2 linked regions of the Drosophila melanogaster genome follow. The protein of the gene in region 1 interacts with the protein of each later gene in a pairwise test. Each region holds a gene or a part of one and is shown on either strand. Other genes may lie near its edges.

Region 1 (11,192 bases):
GCTGGCTGTCTTGACCCACTTGCTCGTTTGCATTTCTGAAAAATGTATACGCAAAAACCAAAATCAGAAATTCTTTTGAGCAAGTGTGTCATGAAATTGCCATTCGTTTCTGCTCTATATACCTGGGCAGCAGATAAAACAAATATTTTCCAAGTATACCAACCGACGGGGGTGTACACATCACGTCAACGCCGCAAATTGGTAAGTAATCCAGCCAGATTAAATCGAAATTCATTGCCATTCCCGCCACAATTCTCCCGATCCATTAGGTTCGTTCCGCTGCAAATTTTTCAGGCTCTAATATGTCACCTTGGTCACAGCTGAAACCGATGGAGTGGTGTAAGGCCGTTTACAGGGACTATCATTCCTGGTCATTCGTCAAGTGTTCCCTGGCATTCTGTGCCGGTGTCCTCCTGGTCCGAAGCCTCGATGGAAAGTTGCCGGCCAGCAGCTAGAAACCCGAAATTTAGACCTATAACTAATTGAATATAGGATCATATTGCCAGTCATCTAACCAAATTGTCGTCGACGAAGGAGCGAAAGAAATCAGGATGACTCAAACGCTTTAAATTTAGCTGGTATATTCGTTTACTTGTTGACTTAAATAAAACAACAAAAATTAAGTTCACAAGTTTATAGTTTTTTAAAAATTTGACCAAAAACAAATCATGGCAGCTGGAATCTAAAATAAATATGAAATCGACGAGCGTCGTACACTGTGCCAAATTTCCATTGATTGGCATGCAATTTTAAATTAACTTTAAGAATACTTTCCATTTTTTTTTATAATAAACAAGCCTTTGCTTCATGGACTTTAGCTCATCCTTAGTGGCCTTTGTGACTTTCATTTGGTTTATGACACAACTCAAGTCCTTGCGACCAATCAAAGTCTGAGTTGTCAGCTTTTGGCAAAAAGTAAATCTCATATTAGCCATTTTCCGGATGCCATGTTTACTCCGGCACCTTGCTGAAAATGTCCACTTTGGGGGAATATCATCGAGCTGTCATGTTACTTTGAGTAAAAAACCATGTGTGAGGCCTGTTGACAGGCAAGTTGGAGCCGGATGATTCCACAAAATGATACATACGCCCATCCTACTTAGAGATTACAATCGGAAAATGCGCATAAGGTTTTACATTCTGCCCGTTTTTGGCATTAGTTTGAGATATGTGTGTCGGGAAGGCATCCGGCCCCGCGGCAAAGAAAATAAAATTAGGCGTCGCTTTTTGCCATAAACATAAAAATTGTTCCTGCATCCTCAGGAAGCTGTCTTACCAGGGGGCAGAACATCCATAGCCACCAGCGATTCCTTGGTATCATAATTTCGAAATGACAGGTAATTTGGGAGCAGCAAAAGGAACAGGAAGTGGAAGTGGCATCTCGATGGTTCTGGGGCAGGGGATCGTGCGAAGTGCGAGCACCAAATGGGAAAATGATGCGGGTTTATTAAGTATCGTTACTCAAGAGGAAAACCTGCCCAGATACCCCGAACCAAATCCCTCTCAACAAATTTATGATGCGCCATTTTCAAAAAAGTACCTGTACCCCCTTTAAAAAAAAAATGCAGAAAAATGTATATTGTAAATATACTCGAGATGTAATAGTGGGGGGTGCCACGTTACTTACCTTCTTCAACTGGCAGCCACCTAGTGATTTAAGCTCGGCAAAAAATGCTGCCGCACATGAACATGCAACTAATGAGCTGAGTTATTTCCAGTGGGCTGGTGGGGCAGAAGTTACCAGGTTTCTGGAACACGCCACGGGAGCTCAGCTCTTCCGGTGCGGGTGGTTTAAACTCTAATTGAAATTTAGATAGCTGCTACGTGTGCCAGCCGGAAAATCATCGCCAGGTGTCACGGTAGGTGATGAGTTAAACAGCCGGAATGGCGAAATGCGTGCGGAAATTGGCCCCGGAATGCCAAAGGATCAAGTGTCGACACCAAAAGAATTTCCAGGTCAAAACGCTGGGCTGGAGATGGAATGCAATTAAGACAAAGCTCTGAAATTTATTATACGTCTTTAAAAACAGTCAATCTTAAACTGTAATGAAATTAAAGGTACAATGCATCTTAATAACAACCCATGTTAGAAATGTTAGAATTGCTTCTCTTATCAGAGTCCCGAAAATATGAGTTTAATGTGCTTTATTTAAGGAAAAACTAGCGTTTAGCTTGGTAGCTTATATTTGTGTTATTGAAGTAATTACAATATCAAGATGATTTCAGTTCACTAACAAGTATGTATGAAGGAATTATCTGGCATTTCTGAGGCCATATTTCATTATGGAGAGCCCTGCAGCTCGTTTAAGATTTGGCTATTAAAAACGGCGCCATTGATGCGAATATTTATTGTGGCCTGGCTTTTTCATAATGTTGGATTATCTAGGCACATGTCCTGCCAGGATTTATGAGCCAGGAATAGCACACAAGAGGTTGAGAGCGACGCTGCGGGAGGGTTGGCCAAAACCAAAACCAAGAGTCAGCTTTAAGCCGTAAGGAAATTGAAATCTTAAGCTTTATTGTTTTACTGGCCCCTCGTCTTTGCCATTCAGCTGAGGATCTGTGTGTGCTCGACGCGACGCATGCAAAGTGAAGCAGGAAAGTGAATAAAACTGCAGCAAAAGCAATTTTCATAAATATTTAATGGATAATGGCGAAAATAAGCGCAAGGAGCAAGACACATCGGCATGATGAGAGGGCAGGGAAATGGCCGTCCGTCTGCTTCTACCCATTCCCACTACCATTTTCCGCACCATCTCCGTTCTCGATGTATTGTTTTGTTTGTGTAGATATATATGTGCCCCTCTCATACAGGCACTTCACCCACCAACCCACCGTATTGATATGTCAGCATAACATATGTGGGCATTTCCCCGAGTGTGTGTTCGGCAATCTCAGCTTTTAGTTTCGGCCCAAGGCCCAGTGATTCTCATTAAAATTACAACACAAATAAAACGAAGAGGGAAGGTGGATGAGTGGTATCGACTTTTTTGCTTACCTTGTGATTTATTGGCTTACAAGAATTGCTTAAAAGTTGATCATTTTTTTTAAATTTTGTCGATTTGTGTTTTATAAACTACAAAAATTAGTTAGGAAAATAAGTGAAATGCCATAATGATTTACAAAATAATTGAAATATTATTTCCGGAAATCGGCATAACCAAAATGTTAGATACTCCTTTTGCCTGCCGATTACAGCGTATGAAAAGCCGGCGAAATGAGGGTAAAATTCACGCGAAATGGAGCAGCCAGCGAACGTGAGAGCCCGTCCATTGTCTTTATCCTGGCGCTTTTCTGCTCTCTGTTGCTCCTCCTGGTCGCTGGAGTCCTTTAAGTGTGCCCATTACAGACGGCAGAAATCATAACAATAAAAGTGTGACGGGACGGAAGGACAGAGGCGGTTGGCGGCTGGCGGATGGGCGACGGGCTGTTTGGGGGCCAGATAGCTCCCCCCACTTAATCGATGATGATGAATAATTGATTCGCTGCGATGCGCCCAAGCATGGAAATGAAAATGTCGGTGCATGCGGGGAGCGGCTTTCTGCTTCTGTTTCTGTTTAAGTTTCGGTTTCAGTGCTTCCCTTTTCGCACGTGTGTGTATGTGTGCCTGTCTGTGTATGTGTGTCGGCGTGTCCTTCTGTGTGTAACGAATGGCAAATTTCAGGAAGCGGAAATGGCAATTGCAAGCGATGGGAAAAGGCAGCAGAAAGACAACGACTGAGGCAAATGTGAAGTTGTGCGCTAAATGAAATGCCAACACAGCAACACGGCCGTGCAAAACGGAAATAGCAAATGCGAATGACGCTGGATCGTTGGACGGTTGGCTGGCTGGATGGCCGAAAAATGGTGTTGGGCGGGGGTCTTGGGATGACAATGGGTGTCCTGGGCAGAATGGGCAGACAGGTGCCAAGGCAGACAATTTGCCGGTATTTAAATTCTATTTTAAGTTCTGTTCAAGCGCGTCAGGAAGCAAACGTAAGGAAATGGTTGACCGTGAATGGTGGACACGTTTCCCACTAATATGGCTGGAAAGCTTAAGGCTTCCTTTTATATATATGATACATATTATTTAAAATATAACCATAGATTTTATAAAATATTATAAATATTTTATTAACACTCATAATATAAATTGCTTAGTTTTGTTTACTCGCCACACTCATTGATGTAACAAAAATGACAAGTAATTTTGAAGTCATTTCATTTTTCATTTGCTTGGGATTAACATTTTTCTTAAAGGACTTTGAGCGTGCATAAAAAATTATCTTTAGCACCATAAAGAACTATATTCACTGCAATTTAAAATGAAAATAAATCTGATCGGGTTAAATGAAAATCGACTCCAAAAGAAAAAATCCTATTTCATCAAGGAATATTCTCTTATTTTTTCTTTTGAATAAAGTTTCCTTTTCCATTTGACTCTTCACCGTCGTTCAGTCAGGGCTTTTTTTCCCCAGGCTACGTGTTTAAAAATATAATCGTATTGAATATTTAAATGCTCGCCAGGGCAAAAGTCGCCAAATACGCTGGCAAAACTGGACGGGAATCAAAATCAAATGCAATGCCTGCGGCTTCGGCGAATGCTGGCTGCCTGTCAGCCTGGCACAAAATTAGATTTAAATATTTTGGCATTTCCCATCAATTTTCATATAATGCAACCCCATCCTTTTCGCTGGGATGCAGGTCCTGTTGCATGGAGGAATGCTGATAGTGAGTGGGATTCGTCTGTGGCAAGTCATTCCAGCCCTACACAAGCGCACACATCGATGTGGATTGAAAGACAGGCGCACACAACCACACATGCTCAATCATTTATGCAGCAATCAGTGCTGACGTCTTTTCCACACGTACGATTACCGGCATAGAGAATCGAGCCCTACTCTCGGTTATGTGGAGCATATTGGGAATCGAAATTGAGTGCGGGTTAACAATGAGGCAGTTGAGATTGCGGCAGCTTCTCTCGAACTTCTGTTGCTCGTGAGTTTCTTGAATTTAAATCAATGGCCCGGGCATCCACTGCGTATGAGTAATATTATACAAGGATGAACAGGTAATTTAATTTAGCTTTTCGGAACAATTTTTTGTTCACAGAATGCAATCAAAACATGTATGAGATAATATACATTTAAACAATCGTTGTCGAATTATTTATTTTATCATGATCCCTACTTTTTTATAAATTGACAATCATTTAAGTAAACAATCCTTTCAGCAAAACAGAAATAACTCCTTTTTCAAGGTGCAACCGTGAAGGACGACTGCACAAAAACTCTATTGGATTATTTGAAGGTTGAAATCAAATTAAGTCAAGTGAATAAATTGACTTTTAGTGCATATAAAAATCGCAAAAAGCGCAAATAAAAATGAAATAAAATTGCGATGGATAAAAAGTTTAAAAGTGAATCCATAGAAATTCATCGTTTGCTGATGACGAAACATGAAAAAAGGAAACTTAAAATTGGTTATATATACGAAATTAACAAGGGAAATTAAACGATCACATAGCAAAGCATTTTTTTGGAAAGTAGTCATTGCATATATTGCTTTCTGAGAAACTTCGTATAAATTTAAATTATTAAAATAAACCGCTAGAAAAATAAGTTAAAATTTGATATCAATTAGAATGGATAACGACAATATGCTCGACTTTACAGACTTAATCAGCTGCAAGGACTTACCGAACATAACTCTGCACAATATCCGTCCCATTTACAGTATAAAGGTTTTCATGTCCGAACCTAAAAACTCCAATGTCTCTATTGCTGAATTAATCAAACGCCAGGAAGTGTCTGCAGAGCAATGTCGCAAGGCACTTAAAGTCATAAAGGACAGACTTCTTCTGAAAATGGCAGCGTTGCAAGAGCTTAAGAAGTATCTGCTGGATTTGCATTCGGAGATCAAAAAGCCCGGTGCAGGGACTCGTTTTGTGACCAATCAGGAGAAAGTTAAATTGCATTTCCTAGACGAGACGGAAATCAGAGAAGTCGAATTGTCTGACGCCGTAGAACGTTGCAATATAAAGCTGAGCTCGCTTTATTGCGAAATCCTGGCTTTGGACAGCGACATGGGCAGTGTCGCCTATTTGGAGAGGGTCGCCCAGATCAACAAAGACTTTATCATGGATTGGCATAAGACTCAGAGGCAGAATAAGACAAGCAACATCCATTGTTCCGGCCAAGGCGTCAAAAAGACTTTTTAATTTGGACTGTTTTAAACTTTACATGTTTCACTCATATGCAATTATTATCGCACTATTCTGGAAAATAAATATTTATCGCGAAAGCAAATACAAAATGTTTTATTACACCTCTCCGAGATTGAATAGTTGAATTTCCAGCAATGAAATTAGCCTTAAGTAATGTGCTCCTCTCTTAAATCCTATCCCTAGGAATCTTTTTTCCCCCTCGACTTTTCCTGCTTCGTGTCCTTCCGTTTCCCTTTTCTCCGTTTACCTGTCACTGACAGCCCGCTGGCCGCTTCATCTTCATTCCCCGTCCATGAATAATCCCTGCGACACTTGCGTTTCATGGCTTTGCATAGTTAGGACCTGTTAAAGGAGGGACCTGGTCCTGGACAGTGTGCTCAGGCATCTCCTCTCTTAGCCAGCGCTTAGCTGGACCTGGGGAGTTGAATCTGTAGCTGCACAGCAAAAAAAATTTTAAAGGTTTCAAAAAGATCTCAAAAAAATGTCCCAAGAGTTTTAAACTCTATATAGAATAGTCTTGAGTTACGTGTCCCGTTCAGGTAGTATTTTTAATACCATTTGCTGGCAAGTTACTAATATTTTCTCTGAGTGTTCAGTTAGCTGGGAACCGGAGCAGGAAGCCAACAACAGGTTGCGTGCCAATGCAGTTTTTCATCGTGAAATGTCGGCGCTGATAGCGATTGTAATTATTATGCTGAACTGCGGGTATGTATGTATGTATGCAAGGGGATTCGCTTTTACGAGAGGCAGAATGGTTCTATTTCAGGTCCTGGCCACTCTTACTTGTTTCCCATTCTTTTTCCGTCTTGTTGCTATCCACTCTCCGACGCATAAACACCGCTAGTTATGCAATAAATAAAATGCAATTGTTGCGTCACAAAAGCTACATAGATGGCAGTGCGTTGGTCAGAAGGGGGGATTGGCTTTTTGGCTCTGGGCTTTTGCCGCCATGTTTGCGAACAACAGCAAGATGGCGCCCCGCATCCGTTATAGCCGAACATCCAATTCCGCGCTCACTTTCGCTGCCTCAGTTGCTGGGCGTCTGCTTCACTTCCGGTTGGAAAAGTTGTTGCATTGTGTGCGTTTTCGTGGAGGTTCCACATCCGCTTTACCAGCTCTCCCAGCTACTCTAGCTTACTTGGCACCGCTTTAATTTGACAAACCATCGCATTTAACGGCCCGGCGTAGTTTATGCTCCTCGAACAGGCAGCGACATCAAGGCGAAAGGTCAAGGAGGTGGCATAAATAATGCAGCGAACAACGAAAACGACAAAGTTGCCAAAGACTTGGACTAACCGGCTGCTGTTGCTGCTGTTTCTGGCCAAAACTCACTTGGCCAGCATAGAAATTGCAGTTTACAGTTGCTAATTGAGTGTGCCTAGTCTGTGCAGGTGGCCTAATGTTGGTAATTAGTGTGAGCCAACTTTGCCAAAAAGATTCCGGCACAAAGTTGCCCAGGATGGGCTTTTGTCAATTGCATAAGTTGCCGTCGTGTCCGGAAAATCTATGTATGAGATTGGATAACAATGAATTATATTTAGCAAACGAATTTCAATTAAAAAAAACACCTTAATTGAGAATGATTCCAGTCTTAGTATAATTTGCTAGGTGGTAAAGGCACCGCTTGAATTTAAGTTACATATTGACTATATTATTATTTTACTCACCCTGATTAGCGTTAAACACCAAAGTGGTTCACATTTTAGCACACTATTATCCTTAGCAATATGATTTAGTGCTTTGTGGAATCTGCTGAATATACATGGAATGACTTTCAGGTGGAGCACATTAAAGCCCATACAGTGATATGCACTCTTGGCTAACTGAAATAGCATGTATAGGCCTTGCTGTGCATTCGGTTTAAACTCGATTAAAGCCACGCACAACGACATCGGAATAATGCAATTGTTTCGGGTATATAGCTGACCAGTTTATGGGCAATCCGAGAGATTTCGAGCGTCTGCAGGCAGGACCAAGCGATCCAGGACACGTGTGCGTGCTTTGTCTGGCCAGAGAGGACAACGAGGAGAGGTTGCCACATGTGGCAAATTAACTTTAAATTAAGCAATTAATTTAATTAGAGCACGGCGAGTGCACAGTGCGACCCCAAAGATTTGCCGCACACGCAACAGTTGCAATTAAGCAGCCTTCGCACACAGATGTCCCCACACAAATACAGGCGTAGTCACAGTAGTGCACACCCCCACTCACAGATACACATATTAACGTAAAACAATGCCGTTTCAGCTGCAATTGCATTTTAAGCGCATGCGGAAATTACAAACTCAAATTGATAAAGCAAAACCTGTGCACATGTGTGGCCCTGGCATATGGCATATGGCAGTAATAAAAATCTGGTTATATAAGGTGAAAAATTGGCTTACGCCTGGGACTCCAGCATGGCCAAAGAAATCCGAGTGCCAGCACATATGAAATCGGAATGCAATTCATTTCTCCATTAACCAATTAAACGCAATTCATCAACTGACGTTCGCAATTTGCAAAAAAATAAAGAAATAACAAAACTATTAATAAGGGATGTAAAAACTTTTACAATTTTAAATTTCCACTGACAGTCAACATTGAAAGGGTTTTTCAGTCAAACGGAAATTTGTTTTCAATTAAGAGTTGATTTAAATTTAACTGCCTTTTCATGACGAACGCATGAAAAATCAGTTATAAATACCTTCTACGGTAATATGCAGACGTTAAACAAATGTATGCTAAAACTTTTAATTTAAAACACCATAAGCTTCTTAACTTTCCTTTGCTTGCCAAATTCTCAACGAAAATCACAAGTCTTACTTTAATGAATATTCTTGCACTATTAAGTTCAAACAAAAGTGAGTAAACTCTTTAATTTACTGGCTTTCAGTCAATGTATTTCACGCCAATGGCTAAGATCCAATTAGTGGCACTTAAACTCTATGTCTGAGTTAAACTATATGGTAGTTAAAACTGTTAAGTCATCAAGCACTTTCTGCGGCATTTGCGGCTGCCAAAAAAGGAAAATTCATCCCCATCAGCATGCTGTACAGCTTTCTGCTATCGAAGAGAATGAGAGATACGGATAGTAAAAAGTTAGACGATTGGTAAGCGGCTTAGTGGTCATTTTGTATACATTTAGACTTACTAGATCGAGTCGGTGCACTTGCCCTGGGCATCTCGCACCTGATGATTTCGGCAGCGAGCGGGTTTCTTGGTAGCCGGCACCGAAGATCGTTGAACTTTCACCTTGAAAATGGGCGAGTTGTGACCTTTGGGCGGCGTGTACTCAATGTTCTCGCGCAAAGTGGGTGGCGTAATTAAAGCAGTTGGTGCCGCTGCAGCCATACTGGGTATATCCTTGGATCGAGCATGAAGTGGGTGGTGCAAGGGCTTCGTTAGACCGCCGATTGGCGTCTCTACAATCATCAGATTGTTTAGTCTGGACTTGGGCTTCGTTATACCACTGGCCGCAATGTCAGCCAACAGATTTAAGCTTGTATTCAGCTGCGTGGCTTCGGTAGTAGGAGCCACTGTAGATACAGTGCTCTCTGGCAGGGTGGCCGATGTGGTGCTCGTTGTTGTGGTGCTACTGGTCCCTGTAGTTAGCTTGATCGGTTTGACGGTCAACGCACTGTCATCATAGTAGTAATCCTCCTCATCGTTATACGTCTCCTAATTGAGAGATCGAAGATGTTATTTTTAGCTCGCTGGCAACTCGTTAGCTGCATATCGGTTAACTGGTTTTCGGGCCCCCACTCACCTCGGCCAGTCCATTCTGGCCCACCTCGATGATGGCCACATCCTTGATGCTAACGTGGATGTTGAATCTGCCAGTCTGTCGCTGATCGAAAACCACTCGCCCTGAATCCGGCATTTCGCTGGTCGTCGGCGTTTCGGCCTCCTCGATGGGCAGCGTTTGGGCCAGGCCAAAAGCCATCAGCGTAAGTGATATCAGCAGCATTTTCAAATTGAAACCAGTTCTAAGGGCGCACGTCAAGAAACTCTGCTGAAAGAACGTCCGTTCTTCTTGAAGCCGCGATCACAACTGATTTGGTCGCTGGGTATGATAGCCCTACTTAAAGGCCTAACAAAGTAGGCAACACTGCAAAAAAGTACAAGGGGTTTTTACAACGATGGCTAATAAAGGGATCTTGATTAGACCGGTTTTATAAATTGGCTCATTATTACTATGTTGTGTAGTTATGCACACATTATGGGAATATTGTGAAAACAAAGCTGCATCCCATGCATTGGTACTCTTCCTAAATTTTGTTGAAAATGATACTCTTAGTGTACACCTCTCAACTTGAAACCCTCTTTCATATTCATTTTCTTTTAAGCCCATTTTTTATTTTCAAGAGATGCCAAAATCGACATACCCCAATTATGGCAAGGCTCTATGCAAATAACCTGCATTTATATCTTCATCTACTGGGAACCGATTGAACTGCATTCAAATATGGTGTGCCAATGCACATTTAAACTAGACTATATGAAGTCCAATGTATGTACATATATACATAAATATATATTTCGAATATTTACCCGTTACTAGGCAAACACAAACGCCACCTTTGAGGTGCTAACAAGCTGTTTAGAAGAGCTGGGAACTAAGTGACCAACAGTTTGGCTAATACCAAATGCATATAATCATAAGTGTAAACAGATAGACATCCGAGCAAATAGTGAGGCAGTCCAGTTGAGTTCATTTGAGGACTGTTGATGTGGGTGAGTGACATGGAAATGGTTCAAGAACGTTTAGCATTTAAATGGGTGTTAAATGCTTCCCACATACATTCATTAGAGAGTAATCCCTGTTGCAGATTAATGGTCAAGATGGAGATTTATATACCATCCGTTGCCGAAATACAAATCATAATTTGCGGCTCAATAGGCGCAGTTCATCGAAAAGTCATTAATTAATCCAGGTATCGAGTCCAGAGAGTTTTCGGCCTTCAATTATCAGCTATTGAGTAATTAGGAGGTCAGTACCTGGCGT
Region 2 (5,299 bases), on another chromosome or scaffold:
GTAATTTCCTATTCCTGTCCTGCAGGGTGCGCACCTGTTCCTTAAGCCGCTGGATCTCGGCTGCATTGGCCATTGAACCAGCTAGTGACTCCTCACAGGGAATGGCACCCAAGCCTGCGGCTCCAACAGCGCTAATTAAGGAACTGCTCATCTTGCCGCCCGACAATAGCTCTACACGCAGCTTTTGGATGACGTCCTTCAGCATATTAACCTCCGCCGCATGCGGATCGAGATTGACCACTGGCTTGTTTTTGATTTGCAGTGCTCGATCCGCATAGCGTAGGGTGCTCAATGTCTCGGCCACGTTGTAGTCGGCGGGACTGACGCAAGCAATCATCAGCGTAATGGAATTACCGCCCAGGGAGTCCTGCAGCAGACGCGTCAGCTTGGACTGGCGATAGGGTATGTAGCCAGCGGCCTGGCCAGCTGCAATTTATATGGAATATATAAAAATGGAGATCAATTTTCAAGCCAGTGGCTAAATGATAGATACTCACATCCCAGGGCATTGATCACGTTGCCCAGGGCCAGAAGACCCTTATTGATGTTCACACCCTCTTTGAACCGATCGCCGCTGGCTAGGGTCTTTGAGCAGCGTTCAGAACCAGCCAGATCCACCAGGTTGAACCTGGACGTGGTAACGGATTGCCTATCGGAGATTGGAGGTCAAATGTGTATAAGCATTAAGTATTCTAACGAGGTGATGGCGGCCCACAACATACTTGCCGTCCAGCTTGGTGGCTACTAGCGTCAATGTGAATATGGCATGGGATCTTGAAGAGGTTTCATTCATAGCCGTGGCGGCCACAGCCCGTCCGGCTGAGCCGCGGATCAGATGATCGGTCACTTGCTGGGCGGATGTGACCACTAGCTCGGTGAGGCCCGGCATGATAATACGGTTCTTGACCTCCCTGATGTCTACGGTGGCCTTGTCCCGAGTTTTCGACGAAAAAAGGTCATAGAACTGCTCCTGGTAGAGCTCCACAAAAGAGCATGTGACAGCAAAACGAAATTCGCTCTGCATTTCCGCAATGGCTGTGAATATATCATGAACGGCGCGTGGTATAACGCCCACATGGTCATCTAACACTCCGTTGAAGGCGGTGCCCATAGTGTAGGTCTTTCCGGAACCCGTTTGTCCATATGCCAAGATTGTTACGTTATAGCCATTTAACAGCTTTTTCACTTTGGCCTGTACACACGTCTCGAATAGATCCTTTTGCGAGTCGTCAATGTCGAAGACATAGTTGTACGTATACGACTCATTCCGGTTGACTGTAACCTGTGGCGCTCCATCCGCCGATCGTTCGACGGCAATCCGGCAGCCGCGATCCAACTCGGACTGCACCAAGGGGCGCACGCGCAAGGCCACTGCCACACAGCTGGGATCCTCGCTGGACATCTGGGGGTAGGGGGAGGGAAGGACAATCATAACATTCCATCACCTTTACCGCCATCTCGACCAACACCACCAACCACTTACCTTCTCTGGGGCACAGCAAGTCCGACTTTGGTTAACTGATCAACTGGTTAGCACTTACAAAAACTTAGAATTTTGGTTGGTCTAGATTTTGGAGCAACGCGGCTTCTCCACGCGCAGCCCGGCACTCTCAATGAATTCGATTTTTGGATCAAGGAACTAAACTAATGAAACGCGACGCTAAGAAGCAAATGCATTTCTGCCAGTATTTTTAAAAATGGCGTTGTTATCGATTCGTTGCAGATGTCGATTAGTGGCGCGATCGACGGAGGTGCCGGTGTAGAAAGATTTCGATTTTTTTATAATTTGGCTCTTGAATAGCACATTTGCAAAAATGTGGTTGGACGATTTGTGCACGCCGATTTGACAAAATGAATCATTGACAGTGTATCTACATACTTATACATAAAAATAAAAGCTACCTAGATCTACAACTATTTTAGCTACTGCCAGTGATAAGAGCCCAATTCTTGTCAACTAGCCAATTCGCCGATAGCCGATAGCAGACAGCCGCACATATCTATCGCTTTTTTGAACAATCGTTGGTAGCAACAGGGAATTGCAGAAACCAGTTGTCTTGGGTTTCGCAAGAATTGGAAAAGGAGGATCTGGTCAAAGAGCAGGACATGGAGGAAGAGGCGCCGCGGTTCAATGTGCTGGAGGAGGCGTTCAACGGCAATGGGAACGGGTGCGCCAACGTGGAGGCCACCCAATCGGCCATATTAAAAGTGCTGACGCGCGTTAATCGCTTCCAGATGCGCGTCCGCAAGCACATCGAAGACAACTACACGGAGTTTTTGCCCAACAACACGTCGCCGGACATATTTCTGGAGGAGTCGGGGTCCTTGAATCGCGAGATTCACGACATGCTCGAGAACTTGGGTTCCGAGGGACTGGACGCCTTGGACGAGGCGAATGTCAAGATGGCGGGTAACGGCAGGCAGCTGCGAGAGATCCTTTTGGGTCTGGGTGTCAGCGAGCATGTGCTAAGGATCGACGAGCTGTTCCAGTGCGTGGAGGAGGCCAAGGCCACCAAGGATTACTTGGTGTTACTGGACCTTGTCGGTCGTTTGAGGGCTTTCATCTATGGCGATGATTCCGTTGACGGGGACGCGCAGGTGGCCACGCCAGAGGTTCGACGCATCTTTAAGGCTCTCGAGTGCTACGAGACCATCAAGGTGAAATACCATGTACAGGCATATATGCTGCAGCAGAGCCTCCAGGAGCGCTTCGATCGCCTGGTGCAGCTGCAGTGCAAATCCTTTCCCACATCGCGTTGCGTCACCTTGCAGGTGAGCCGGGATCAAACGCAGCTGCAGGATATTGTGCAGGCTCTCTTCCAGGAGCCCTACAATCCGGCGCGCCTCTGCGAATTCCTGCTGGACAATTGCATAGAACCGGTGATCATGCGCCCAGTGATGGCCGATTACAGCGAAGAAGCCGATGGTGGCACCTACGTTCGATTGTCGCTTTCCTACGCCACCAAGGAGCCCAGCTCAGCGCAGCTTCGCCCGAACTACAAGCAGGTCTTGGAGAACCTCAGGCTGCTGCTGCACACGCTGGCCGGGATCAACTGCAGTGTGTCCAGGGACCAACATGTTTTTGGCATTATTGGCGATCATGTGAAGGATAAAATGCTGAAATTACTGGTGGACGAGTGCCTGATACCAGCTGTGCCCGAAAGCACGGAGGAGTATCAGACATCCACGCTGTGTGAGGATGTCGCCCAGCTGGAGCAGCTGCTTGTAGACTCATTCATCATCAATCCCGAGCAAGATCGAGCCCTAGGGCAGTTTGTAGAGAAGTACGAGACCTACTACCGCAATCGGATGTATCGTCGAGTTCTGGAAACGGCGCGGGAGATCATCCAGCGCGATCTGCAGGACATGGTGCTGGTGGCGCCCAACAACCACTCAGCCGAAGTGGCAAACGATCCCTTCCTCTTCCCACGCTGCATGATCTCGAAAAGTGCTCAGGTAAGTCGTTCGCTAAACGAAACGATTGATTACGCACTAATGGATTCATTTTCGCCGGCAGGACTTTGTCAAACTAATGGACCGCATTCTTCGCCAGCCCACGGATAAACTGGGCGACCAAGAGGCCGATCCCATAGCCGGCGTCATTTCCATCATGCTGCACACCTACATCAATGAGGTGCCCAAGGTGCACCGCAAGCTGCTCGAGAGCATTCCACAGCAGGCCGTCCTGTTCCACAACAATTGTATGTTCTTCACACACTGGGTAGCGCAGCATGCGAACAAGGGCATCGAAAGCTTGGCGGCGCTGGCCAAGACACTGCAGGCCACCGGTCAGCAGCATTTCCGCGTGCAGGTCGACTACCAATCCTCCATCCTGATGGGCATCATGCAGGAGTTCGAGTTCGAGAGCACGCACACGCTGGGCTCTGGTCCACTGAAGCTGGTGCGTCAGTGCCTTCGCCAGCTGGAGCTGCTGAAGAACGTGTGGGCCAATGTGCTCCCGGAGACCGTGTACAATGCAACCTTCTGCGAGCTAATCAACACATTTGTCGCCGAGCTAATCCGTCGAGTGTTCACGCTGCGCGACATTTCCGCACAGATGGCCTGTGAGCTGAGCGATCTCATTGACGTGGTGCTCCAGCGGGCGCCCACGCTTTTCCGCGAACCAAACGAGGTGGTCCAGGTGCTCTCTTGGCTTAAGCTGCAGCAACTGAAGGCCATGCTGAACGCGTCGCTCATGGAGATCACAGAGCTGTGGGGCGACGGCGTCGGCCCGCTGACCGCCAGCTACAAGTCGGATGAGATAAAGCACCTAATCAGGGCGTTGTTCCAGGATACGGATTGGCGGGCCAAGGCCATTACGCAGATTGTATAGGGCGCGTGCGCCTTTTTTGCGAGCGAGGAATGTTGAACGGCGGATAGACATCACATTTGAGGTGGTAAACGGAGTCTAAATTTGATGATCACCATCAATGTGTCCTTACTTTAATTCCTTGAATTGTTTACCACAAATGCCAAAAGTAATAGAATTTGATAATCTTTAATTCTCCGAATGGTTTCTGTTGTACATAGAAAAGTAATTATCCACAAAAATCCATTCCATTCTTCCCGCAACGCAACACAATATTTAACTTAAGACTTATTTAAATGAATAAAAACAACTAAATCCCATTAGTGCGCCTCTTGTCGCGCTTGTAGAACGAGCATGTATAGCTGCTCAGTAAGCAGTCTGTGATCTCGGCCGTGGGTGACGGTTAGGATGCGTTGGGCCTCCTCCAGATGGTGCAGTGCCTCCTTGGAATGGCCCTCGTAGAGCTGAATCTTGCCCAGCTTCATGTGAAGCAGGCCCAATAGCGGATTCCAGGGTCCGTGGTATTTTCGAAAGCCTGGCAGCAAACGTTGCCCGTAATCCAGGGCGTCGCTCCACTTGCCCACTTCGATGGCTGCTTCGAAGGCCGCATCGAGCGTCTTGACGTACCACACATTCAGGGGATGGAACACGCCAGTCTGCTTGTCCAGACACACCTTGCACACATCGAGATCTGTGATCGAGAGAGTGAAAATGTGCTTATTATGGAGCTAATTCCATTTCGTCGCATCTACTCACAGGCCACGTCCTTCATGTTCTCCAGATTGTGCCGGGTCAGAGTCATCGCCTCGTTGAAGGCATTTCTCAACTTGGGACTGATGCCGGCATCGCATCGCGGGCAATTATTGCGGTCCACACTGATTCCCGCACCGCAGTTGCGATTGGGACACAGGGCAGCCAGCATCTCCTTCGATTCCTTGGCATCCGTGCACTTGCTGCACACGCATAGGAAGTAGTAGTGCTCCTTGAGGT

What was found. Proteins that work in one complex are often made in the same cells at the same time.
Region 2: the proteins of CG15124 (region 1) and Zw10 interact in a two-hybrid assay, tested with the Drosophila melanogaster proteins (one large-scale study listed by BioGRID).

What each region holds. Positions count from the first base shown.
Region 1 is NT_033778.4:19,637,415-19,648,606, forward strand, and holds CG15124 (uncharacterized protein), read left to right. Parts: upstream 1-5,532; 5' UTR 5,533-5,623; coding exon 5,624-6,199; 3' UTR 6,200-6,284; downstream 6,285-11,192. Other genes in the region: CG43277 (uncharacterized protein), read left to right, coding at 303-455; CG15905 (uncharacterized protein), read right to left, coding at 9,175-9,250, 9,339-9,865, 9,954-10,154.
Region 2 is NC_004354.4:2,602,197-2,607,495, forward strand, and holds Zw10 (Zeste-white 10), read left to right. Parts: upstream 1-2,000; 5' UTR 2,001-2,106; coding exon 2,107-3,456; intron 3,457-3,517; coding exon 3,518-4,333; 3' UTR 4,334-4,628; downstream 4,629-5,299. Other genes in the region: Klp3A (Kinesin-like protein at 3A), read right to left, coding at 1-426, 498-649, 723-1,402; Smyd3 (SET and MYND domain containing, class 3), read right to left, coding at 4,630-5,000, 5,066-5,299. UniProt on the Drosophila melanogaster protein: Essential component of the mitotic checkpoint, which prevents cells from prematurely exiting mitosis. Required for the assembly of the dynein-dynactin, Mad2 complexes and spindly/CG15415 onto kinetochores.